Linked DNA regions of Callithrix jacchus. Each later gene encodes a partner of the first gene's protein in a complex. Links are inferred from orthologs where the notes say so. Each region holds a gene or a part of one and is shown in the gene's direction. Other genes may lie near its edges.

What was found.
Region 2: the proteins of PIN1 (region 1) and CPEB1 are in contact, whole or in part, in an NMR structure (PDB 2N1O), measured with the Homo sapiens proteins. The link is inferred for Callithrix jacchus from reciprocal best matches to the Homo sapiens genes PIN1 and CPEB1. Residues at the interface, in NP_006212.1 of Homo sapiens: Arg17, Tyr23, Ser32, Gln33, Trp34, Glu35; in NP_001352172.1 of Homo sapiens: Arg206, Ile207, Ser208, Pro209, Pro210, Leu211, Pro212, Phe213.
Region 3: the proteins of PIN1 (region 1) and SMAD2 are in contact, whole or in part, in an NMR structure (PDB 2LB3), measured with the Homo sapiens proteins. The link is inferred for Callithrix jacchus from reciprocal best matches to the Homo sapiens genes PIN1 and SMAD2. Residues at the interface, in NP_006212.1 of Homo sapiens: Glu12, Arg14, Met15, Ser16, Arg17, Ser18, Tyr23, Phe25, Trp34; in NP_001003652.1 of Homo sapiens: Pro218, Glu219, Thr220, Pro221, Pro222, Gly224.

What each region holds. Positions count from the first base shown.
Region 1 is NC_133523.1:9,042,781-9,045,782, forward strand, and holds the end of PIN1 (peptidyl-prolyl cis-trans isomerase NIMA-interacting 1), read left to right. Parts: intron 1-828; coding exon 829-939; coding exon of another isoform or gene 940-964; intron 965-1,797; coding exon 1,798-1,907; 3' UTR 1,908-2,394; downstream 2,395-3,002. UniProt on the Homo sapiens protein: Peptidyl-prolyl cis/trans isomerase (PPIase) that binds to and isomerizes specific phosphorylated Ser/Thr-Pro (pSer/Thr-Pro) motifs.
Region 2 is NC_133507.1:23,935,674-23,939,421, reverse strand, and holds the start of CPEB1 (cytoplasmic polyadenylation element-binding protein 1), read left to right. Parts: upstream 1-1,229; 5' UTR 1,230-1,438; exon of another isoform or gene 1,439-2,472; intron 2,473-3,748. Other genes in the region: uncharacterized protein LOC144576600, read right to left, coding at 699-1,019.
Region 3 is NC_133514.1:90,930,334-90,933,728, reverse strand, and holds the end of SMAD2 (mothers against decapentaplegic homolog 2), read left to right. Parts: intron 1-1,165; coding exon 1,166-1,289; 3' UTR 1,290-2,862; downstream 2,863-3,395. UniProt on the Homo sapiens protein: Receptor-regulated SMAD (R-SMAD) that is an intracellular signal transducer and transcriptional modulator activated by TGF-beta (transforming growth factor) and activin type 1 receptor kinases.

The sequences.
Region 1 (3,002 bases):
TCACTCAGATGCTACTGTGTTGCCATCTTGCCCCCTCTGCTGGCAGCCCTGTTCCTCCTTCCTCCACCAGCCCTGGCCTTCCCTTCCTCCTGGAGATTCAGACCTGATGGGCTGGTTTGGGCCACACAGGGAGGGGCCATCCTGAGTTCTGCCAGCATGCAGACTGTAGGTAGGAAGCTGGGAGAAGAGCTTTGTCGCCTGCCTCTGGGACCCTGGGACCCACAGTCTTCGAGTGTCCCTTGCAAAGCCCACCAGGGTGCCTCGGAGGCCTTTCCCAGTGCCAGGCTGTTCTTCCCAGATGGAACAGCATGGGAGGGCTGCTGTGGCAGTGTTGGGCCCTCCCTGGACAGCTCTCCTACCTCTGCCCAGAGGACCCCGGGGGCCCAGCCCCCTGCCTGGGTCAGCCTCTCCCTGCCTCCCACTCTGGCCTGTCCAGCTTGGATATAGATTTTCCCTCAAGTGTGTGTGTGTGTGTGTGTGTGTGTGCACGCGCGCGTGTGTGTGCACGCGCGCGTGCGTGCGTGCACATGGTGAGAGTGACAGCGGGAGCAGGGGTGTGAGACTCACAGGGTGGCAGGACTCATGGATGACTGGTGGGGTGCACCAAGTGCTGATGCACATGAAGGTGCATCTTCTTGGGTGAGGACAGGTGTGACTGGGTGCAAGTGTGTGTGAGGAGAAGGGTTGTGGGGCGCATGTGCACTTGTAGGGGGAGGTTTTCCAAGTGAAGTGCTGCCCCCCTCCCACCCAGCTCTGGAGCCCTCCATCCCGTTTGGTCAGGTGCCCCTGCCCCTGACCTGGCACTCCCATTCCATTCCATGTCTGCAGGCTACATCCAGAAGATCAAGTCAGGAGAGGAGGACTTTGAGTCTCTGGCCTCACAATTCAGCGACTGCAGCTCAGCCAAGGCCAGGGGAGACCTGGGCGCCTTCAGCAGAGGTGCGCAAGGAATGGGCTTCACCAGGTCTGGGGACCCTCTCCTCCCTAAGGGGTAGAGGCTGGGAGGGTCTGGGCACTGGGATCCGGGGTGCCACATGGCCCTTCAGGGTCCAGCAGGTGGCAGCACAGCCCCTTCCTCAGGCTTCAGAGTCTGCTCTGCTGGGCAGGGCGGGGGCCACACAGGGTGGGGGCTGCAGAGCTTTCTTCCTGGCATCGTCTCTATCCCGGGCCCACCAAGGCAGGTGCGTCCTGTCCTCTGCCTCTTCCTTTGGGGGTTTAAGGCTGGGTTCCCTGAGAATCCCAGGGAATGTTCCCCAGAATCCCTCTGGGTGGGGGGAGGTGGCCCTGAGTTTAGGCCTGTCTGGCCAGGACAGTGGAAATCAGGGGCAGAGAGGACCAAGCATCCTCCTTTTCCTTCTCAGGGTCTGCAAACAGGGAGAGGCCAGGCTGGGGTGTGGGGTGCATGCATCTGAGGGGGTTGGGGGTCCATAATGGGGCCAGCAGCTTCCCCCCTGCTCCGAGGAGGCTGGTGGGACAGATGACCTGGCAGGGCTGGGAACCAGGCCCAGGGAGATGAGTTCACTACCGAAGCGACCCCTAAACGCGCAGCAGCGGCTGCAGCCCTGCCTGCCATCCTTCATGCTGTCCTCGGGCTTCCTGGGGCCTCTTTAATGGCCCTGCCGCCCCCAGCTGGGCCACCACTCAGCACCGGCAATAAACATGGTGACGGATGAGTGTGGACGAGTGTGAGGCTCAGCGCAGTCAGGAGCCCCATCTATTGTGGCTGCCACCCGCCCTGCCTTATCCTGGCCTCTGACAACCCTGCCTTGACACCCCACCATCCCTCCCGGCTCCCAGGTCAGATGCAGAAGCCATTTGAAGATGCCTCATTTGCGCTGCGGACGGGAGAGATGAGCGGGCCCGTGTTCACGGATTCTGGCATCCACATCATTCTCCGCACAGAGTGAGGGTGGGGAGCCCAGGCCTGGCCTCTGGGTGGGGCAGGGCGGCTGGGCCCGCCAGCTCCCCCACTGCCTGCCGGCCAGTGGTCAAACCCCCTACTCCCTGCCACCGTCAAACAGTATTTATTGTTCCCAAAATGGCTGGGAGGGGGCCCTTCCAGATTGGGGGCCCTAGAGTCCCCACTCCCCGTCCATTCCCAGTTGGGGCTGCGACTGCCAGGCTCTCCCTTAAGGAATTGACTTCAGCAGGGGTGGAAGGTGCCCAGAACCAGGGCAGTGTGGTGGGAGGGGTGTTCCAAAGAGAAGGCCTGGTCAGCAGAGCCGCCCCGTGTCTTCCCCAGGTCCTGGAGGCAGACTCGAGGGCCGAGTTGTTTCTAGTTAGGCCACGCTCCTCTGTTCAGTTGCAAAAGCAAACACTCGTGCGGCCCAGCAGTGGGCCCTCTGAGCAACCGTGCAGTACCCTTTTACCCCAATTAAACACCTAGAACCACTACTCCGCTCTCTTATGTCTCATTTCTCTTTAGGGAAGCATAGGGGGCACCATGTCACTGGGAGGGGATCACAATCCCCCATCCTAAGGGTCCCAGCTATGCGTTTACCCTCAAGAGGCTCCCCCTTGCCCTGGGCCAGGGGGAGTCCCAGCAGCTGGCTCTCAGGGACGTGGGCACTGTTCAGCCACCCAGCACCCTGATACCTGCTTCCCTGGCATCTCAGGTGCTTCTGGAAGGTTCATGGGTCCAGCCCAGCACCCACTGCAGCTGTGGTTACCATGACAACAGGGCCCTCCGGGACTGGAGGGGGCTCCTGCAGGGAGGGGGATGGGAGCAGACACAGCTTCCAGTGCCTGAAGTGGGACAGGGGATCCTGGGGTGGGTGGTGAGGAGATGGGGTCCCCCACCAGTGTTGGGGCTGTGGGTGTGGCCTGCCTGATCCCCATCCCTGTTCAGTCAGCTGTGGGTCTGTTGGATGGAGAAGTGGTTATGCCTGCATACCCTACCCCCCCCTCACTTGATGAGGACCAGCCCAGATTGCAGGGGTGCCTGGCTGGCATTGCTTAGGGACCTGAGCAACTAAAGCTCAGCCCCAGGGGACCTCCCCTCC
Region 2 (3,748 bases), on another chromosome or scaffold:
TCTAAGTCTCCAGTAATACCTTAAAACAGACCTGACAATTGCCAACCCCTTTTACAATTTTTAAGTTTCCTGTTGTCTACAGAATAAAGGCCTTTTACAAACCCTGCCCAGGCTTCCCTCCGGCGGTATCAGCCCGCATCATCCTCAGTCCCCGTCAGAGTGAGCCGTCTGTGCAGTCCTCTCCCTCTGCCTTTGCTTGGTCTCCCGCCTGGAATGCCATCTCCGCCTCTGCGCTTGCCTAGGGCTTCCGGTCCGCCCCTGCTCCAGTTGCCCCAGGACGCCTGCCCTGGAGCCCTCGCCCTGTCCCTTGTCCTATTTTTGTGAAACTTTCTATTTCGGTCCGTCGGGAGTGTTTACCCGGGGAACTCCTGTCCAAAGAGGGCCAGTGATGTCTTTGGAACTTTCTGGAATGTCCTGACTCCCACGGCCCCCTCTGCAGCGCACGGAGCAGTGAGTCTAAAGTAAGTGCGCCTCCTGGAGCCCGGGTGCTATGGTTTGGACAGGGGCTGCAGGGCTGGCTCTCGCCCTGGAGAGATCACTGGAAGAGGAGGAGCGCGGATACGCGGCGGTACTGACAAAGAGATCCCGCCGCTCGCAGGGGCTTGTAAATCGTGCCCTCTTTCGTAAGGGGGTAATCTGAGGTTCAGGGCAAACGACTCGGCCAGGGTCACTTAGGTGAGTGGCGCGCTCAGGGTCCCTCAGGGGGCGGCTGTGGCCAGCAGCAGCGGCAGTTTCCGCCGGCGTGCGGGTGGTCTGCGGAGCACTCCTCGGCCCGGCCTGCAGGGAGAGGCGGGGCGCGCGGGGGCGGAGGCGAGGGCCCGGGCGGGGCCGACACAGGTGCTCCGCATCTGGCCGGGGGGCGGCTCCGAGGAGCGGCTCGGTGGAGCTTCATAAGCTGCTCGGGTGCGGGGCTGCGTGCGGCTCGCTGCAAAAACAGTGCCCACGTGCGTGCGCGTGTCTCGCCCGCCGGCCGGCCGGCCAGCCAGCTCCTCAGCCCCGCAAGGCCACACCGGCCCCATGGCGTTCCCGCTGGTAAGAGCCGCCCGCCGCTCGCCTGGGCGGGGCCGCGTCCCGGCCGCAGTAGCTAACGGTCCGTGCGCAGCCGGGTCCGGCGCAACGGTACCCCATCCCCCGCCCCGTGCGCGAGTTCCGGGCGGGGCGAGGTCACGTGCCCGCGGGCGTGGGGCCTCGTGGAGGGGTGGAGGGTGAGGGGGGCAGGGAGCCTCCTCGTGACTCAGGGCCTTTGGGCTTAAAGGCGCCGCAGCCTTGCGGGGGTGGCCGGTGGGGCCTCGGAGCCGCACTGCAGCCTCCGGGTGGCCTCGAGCGTCTGTCCAGACGGGAGCTGACCGGACAGAAAGGAGCCCTGGGGCCCAGAACACTTCTTTCTCACCCTGCCGTCGCACCCGAAGCCGCTAGCGCTGGAAGCTCACGTCCCGCTGTGGGTCTCTTTCGCACCCGCCGTGGGGCGAGGGGGAAGCCGGGTGGGGTGGGGCGGGACGGGGCGGGGCTGCTGACGCCATAGACCTCGCGCTGTGTGGAGCGCCCCACGACGGCGGCGGCCTCGGCCCCTTTAAGGCGGAGGGATCAAGCCCCTCGTGCGGCTTCCCAAGCCCGGGAAGGTCACGTGGCTTCACACCTTCGCTTGGCGCGGGAGTCCTGAGGCGAGGCTGGCGGAGTAGTGGGGCGCGAGGGCGGAAAACTGGCGGGGCTTCGCGTCCGCGAGACCCAAGGGGCTGTCGGCTTTGAGGTGGGCTCTGGGGTCGTGGGTGGGAGAGGGGTAGGCGTGCAGGCCGTGGAGGTGGCGCACACGGGGAGAGGTCGGAGCCCGAGTCGGGCTGTGCTGTGCAGACCCTGCGGCCTGGCGAGCGGGTGCATGTGGTCTCGGCGTTCTGGTCATTCTTCTCAGTGCCGGAGGAGGCCAGGTCTCCAGACTCAGGTCCGGCCTCAGGTTTGGTGGAGCAGCGGCTGGGGCGCTGGACGGGCCGCTTCCCTTGACGAACTGGTTGGGCGGGCCTGTGCCCGCCTGGAGTCACCCGGGAGTTGTGGGGACTCACCCACAAAGGGGCTCTCACCTTGGGGTGTCCCAGCCGGCGTCATTCCCCGGGGCTGCTGCTTCTCTCGTGGGTTCCTGTGCGGTCGAGTCGACCGAGGCTTTGCTGCCTCATTCCTAGGGGGCCCCGGGAGGCCAGAGGCCCCGTGAGCGGCCCCGCTGGCCCCGGGACCCGACCGAGAAAAGCCAGGCGGGCTCCTGGGCTTTCGGGCGCCTTCGTGGGCGCGCGCTTGATTTCTCGGTGGCACTTTGCTCCCTGCAGGCTTGGCCCCTTGCACCGTGCTGTCAGCTAGGGTTCCTCCCGTGGGGAAGAGTCGGGAGCGGAATCCGCCCTTAGAAGCCGGATTGCCTCGGGCCAGGTTGGCCCGGGAGGAGGCGGCGTCCCTCCTCCCCCGCCCCGCGCCTGCTGCCCGGCCCTGACTGACGCCCTATTTCTCTGGCAACTGCTTCCCTTGGTCTCCCTGGCTACCGCCCTGCCTCCCTGCACTGTCTCCTGGCACCTGAGTCAACCACTGGGCTGCGTGGTTGATGGGGACGAGGGGCAAGTGGGTGGGGTTCCTATTGTGGAAGGCACAGGTGCACCGCCCGCCTCTTGGCTGCCCTTCAGGTGACGGGGCTGTCCCTTGCCAGCGCCAAGAGTATCTGCTGAGGACAGTTTGCACCCTGAGGCTCGTGTTCCCTTTCAGTCTAGGTACCCACGTGGGTTAAAAAATAAAAAATTCAAACAGAACCTAATCTTGGAAACCTCAAGTTGGTGATTGTTTTCCTGATTGGTTTTTTGCACAGTTAGAAAAGCTTGCAGAGCTCGGGAATGTTGGAAAACCCTGGGGACTCTGTTTTTGGGACTCATCACTGGTCTTTTACTTGTCCCCATTGAACTGGCTTGGAGCTGAGCTATATTCCCAGAGCACGTTGCTGTAGAGTTTGGCTTTTTAAATTTTTTTGTCACGGCGTTTAGAACTTTGGGTGGCCTAGTAGCCCCTGCTCGGTTTATAGAAATAGGAAGTTGACTACCCTGTGTGTAAGTCAACCTTTGTAATATAAAAATACTTGGCTTCCCCGCTCCGAACGGCTTGTCTTATAAACAACTCCCTGGCCTAGGCTCCCGCGAGCGGGAGGGAGGTTGTGCCAGCCTGTGCAGCTCTTTGGGGGGTTGGAGAGCTGAAGCCTGTGGTGAATGATGGTGGGAACACTGGCAGTTTGGGTTAGGCCATAGGCGTTCCATGGGCTTTTCTTTCACTGTAGTGCACAAACCAGTGCCCGTGAAGGGAAAAGTGGAGGAGCATGATAAAGTAGTAGGACTCCAGGCTCAGCACCAAACTTATCATTGGCTCACTAGTTAATAGCTGCCTTAATAAGCATTTTCTCTGAGCACAACCGTTAATTGTGTTCTTAATCTTTAAAATGGGTTGCAAACTCAAACCCTGCAGGGGCCTGAGGTAACATAAATGAGCAGAGGAGGAGGAAGGAAAGGTAATGGCTACTGAGCTATAGAGTTTGTTTCTCTGAAAGGAGCAGCCACTAGCTGATTGTTGGCTATCTCTATTTTGATGAATCTCCTGACTTTTAAATGTAGCATTTAAAAAATTTTAAACACTATGGACCAAATGTAACATGTCTTTAATGTTGGATTCAACCCGAAGGCTTGTTTGGAGTCTGTCTTAAACTATCCCTGTCGGATTTTCCTGCTATTTTGCA
Region 3 (3,395 bases), on another chromosome or scaffold:
GTTGCCTAGAGCACACTGAAAAATCTGAAGGGTATAGTGGGGTACTGATACCATCTGCCTCAGAAAATGACATTCTTGGAAGTACAGTTTTAAATTATATTGAACCTGTGTTGCTTGGAGATGAACAGTTGATAATGGGCTTTTCTTATAATTGAAGGGCTGTTAGTCTATAGAAGCAAGTAGGTTTATTGACTTATTCTGTGTAGCAGATAAGGTGGAACTAAAATCAGTGCATGGAAGTGACAGGATATCATTGAATAATTTGTAATTCCCATAGAGTTGTCCCTTTTGTTGAAGCACTATTAAAAGCCCGAATGGTGTTGCTAAGAGGGATGTTCATTGGCTTTGTCAGGGAAAGTTGAACTCCAGCATTTAACACTCTCTGTGGTAAGGGTTTACCTTGGGCCAAGATTTTGTTTTTGTTTTGATATACTTGTATTTAGACTCCATTTGATTATTTGAGTATCTACTATGCTGTAGTTGATTTGTTGAGTACAGTGACCGTATATATGTCTTGGTTTGCTTGGGAGAATCCTGATTCATGTCTCTTCTTCTGGCTTTATTTATTTGTGTGTTGGGACAGAGTCTCACTCTCTCGCCAAGCTAGATTGCAGTGGTGTGATCTTGGCCCACTACAACATCTGCCTCCTGGGTTCAAGCAATTCTCCTGCCTCAGCCTGCCGAGTAGCTAGGACTACAGGCACCCGCTACCACCCCAACTAATTTTTATATTTTTGGCAGAGATTGGGTTTCACCACGTGAGCCAGGATGGTCTTGATCTCTTGACCTCATAATCTACCTGCCTCAGCCTCCCAAAGTGCTGAGATGACAGGTGTGAGCCACTGCACTCAGCCCTGGCCTGATTAATAATAATACCCACAGTTTCTCTCAGGTGTTCAGTTTTGGACGATGGTGAATAGTAAGATCACCTTATTAATTTTAGTTTGATGTGATTTACAAGAACATCTTTTTCTCTTTTAAAACAAGGTCATCAGAAGTACTTTGTTTGACTCTGAGGATCAACCATTTTTCAAAATAATCGTGTCCAAAATTATATACTCAACCTTTTAATTTCTGTAAATTTTTAATGCAGTGTACATAAACAGCCATTTTTCCTGCTTGTGGACTTTATTTCATAATTATTTTCCTATATTCTTTTAAACAGAAGGCAGACGGTAACAAGTACTCCTTGCTGGATTGAACTTCATCTGAATGGACCTCTGCAGTGGTTGGACAAAGTATTAACTCAGATGGGATCCCCTTCAGTGCGTTGCTCAAGCATGTCATAAAGCTTCATCACCAATCAATTTCCATCAAAAGACTTAATGTAACAACTCTTCTGTCATAGTATTGTGTGTGGTCTCCATGGACTGTTTACTGTCCAAAAGTTCAAGAGAGAAAACAGCACTTGAGGTCTCATCAATTAAAGCACCTTGTGGAATCTGTTTCCTATATTTGAATATTAGATGGGAAAATTAGTGTCTAGAAATACTCTCCCATAAAAGAGGAAGAGAAGATTTTAAAGACTTAATGATGTCTTATTGGGCATAAAACTGAGTGTCCCAAAGGTTTATTAATAACAGTAGTAGTTATGTGTACAGGTAATGTATCATGATCCAGTATCACAGTATTGTGCTGTTTATATACATTTTTAGTTTGCATAGATGAGGTGTGTGTGTGCGCTGCTTCTTGATCTAGGCAAACCTTTATAAAGTTACAGTACCTAATCTGTTATTCCCACTTCTCTGTTATTTTTGTGTGTCTTTTTTAATATATAATATATATCAAGATTTTCAAATTATTTAGATGCAGATTTTCCTTGTAGAAAAACTAATTTTTCTGCCTTTTACCAAAAATAAACTCTTGGGGGAAGAAAAGTGGATTAACTTTTGAAATCCTTATCCTTAATGTGTTCAGTGGGGCTTAAACAGTCATTCTTTTTTTGTGTGTGTGTTTGTGTGTTTTTTTTTAACTGCTAAATCTTATTATAAGGAAACCATACTGAAAATCTTTCCAAGCCTCTTTTCTCCATTCCCATTTTTGTCCTGATAATCAAAATAGCATAGCATGACATCTTCACCAGTAATAGTTGCACTGATACTGCTGGCACCAGTTAATTCTGGGGTACAGTAAGAATTCATATGGAGAAAGTTCCTTTGACACCCAATTTTCGACAGGAATAATTGGCTTGTATAACCTGGCAGTCTGTTGATTTAACTTTCCACCTACAAAAAAATACATAGGTGGCAGTATAATTATTTTCAGGGATATGCTAGAATTACTTCCACGTATTTTTCCCTTTTTAAAAAGCTAATCTATAAATACCCTTTTTTCAAAAGGTATTTTAAAATATTTCAACCGCAGACCTTCTGGTCTTCTAGTAGTTTCATTTGATTTAGTTACCAGATTGTATTATGAAATGAACCTTTTGTAGATGTAATTGTTTCTGCAAAATACCTAGAAAAGTGATGCTGAGGTACGATCAGCAGATATGGGCCATCTGTTTTTAAAGTATGTTGTATTCAATTTGTAAATTGATTGTTACTCTACATGTAATTATGAATTCAGAATTTTAAAAACTGGGGGGAAAAGCCATTTCTTTAGCAAGTTTTTTAGCTTTTAAGTTACCTGCAGTCTGAGCTGTTCTTAACTGATCCTCAGTTTGTGGTTGACCATATTTCATACTCTGTAGTGAGAGGAGATTTCCGAAACTCTGTTGGTAGTTCATTCTGCAGCAAATAATTATTATGTCTAATGTTGACTCATTGCAGTTTAAACATTTCTTCTTGTTTGCATCTTAGTAGAAATGGAAAATAACCACTCCTGGTCATCTTTTCATAAATTTTCATATTTTTGAAGCTATCTTTGGTACTTGTTCTTTGAAATCATACTCAACCTGTCTCTACAGGTATCATTTTCGATACTTTCAACATTTGGTGGTTTTCTATTGGATACTCGCCATTTTCCTGTATTTGTGTGTATATGTATGTGTTCATGTAAATTTGGTATAGTAATTTTTTATTCGTTCAACAGATATTTATTGTTCGCATGTTTGTACCAGGAACTTTCTTAGTCTTTGGGTAAAGGTGAACAAGACAGCTACAGTTCCTGCCTTTGCTGAGACAGCAATTACACTAATCCTTAATCATCTTGTCTTTGAAGGAGATAAACAGGGTACTGTACTGGAGAATAACAGATGGATGCTTCAGGTAGGACATCAAGGAAAGCCTCTCAGGAAATGATGCATGAGCTAATACCTGACATTGAAGAAGCAAGCCAAGTGATGAGCCAGGGAAGATAAGCATTCCTGGCAAAGAGAATAGCATCAAATGCAAAAAGGCTCACACTAAAGGAAACTCATGATTAGATATTAATGCTTTATACAGAAAACTCTC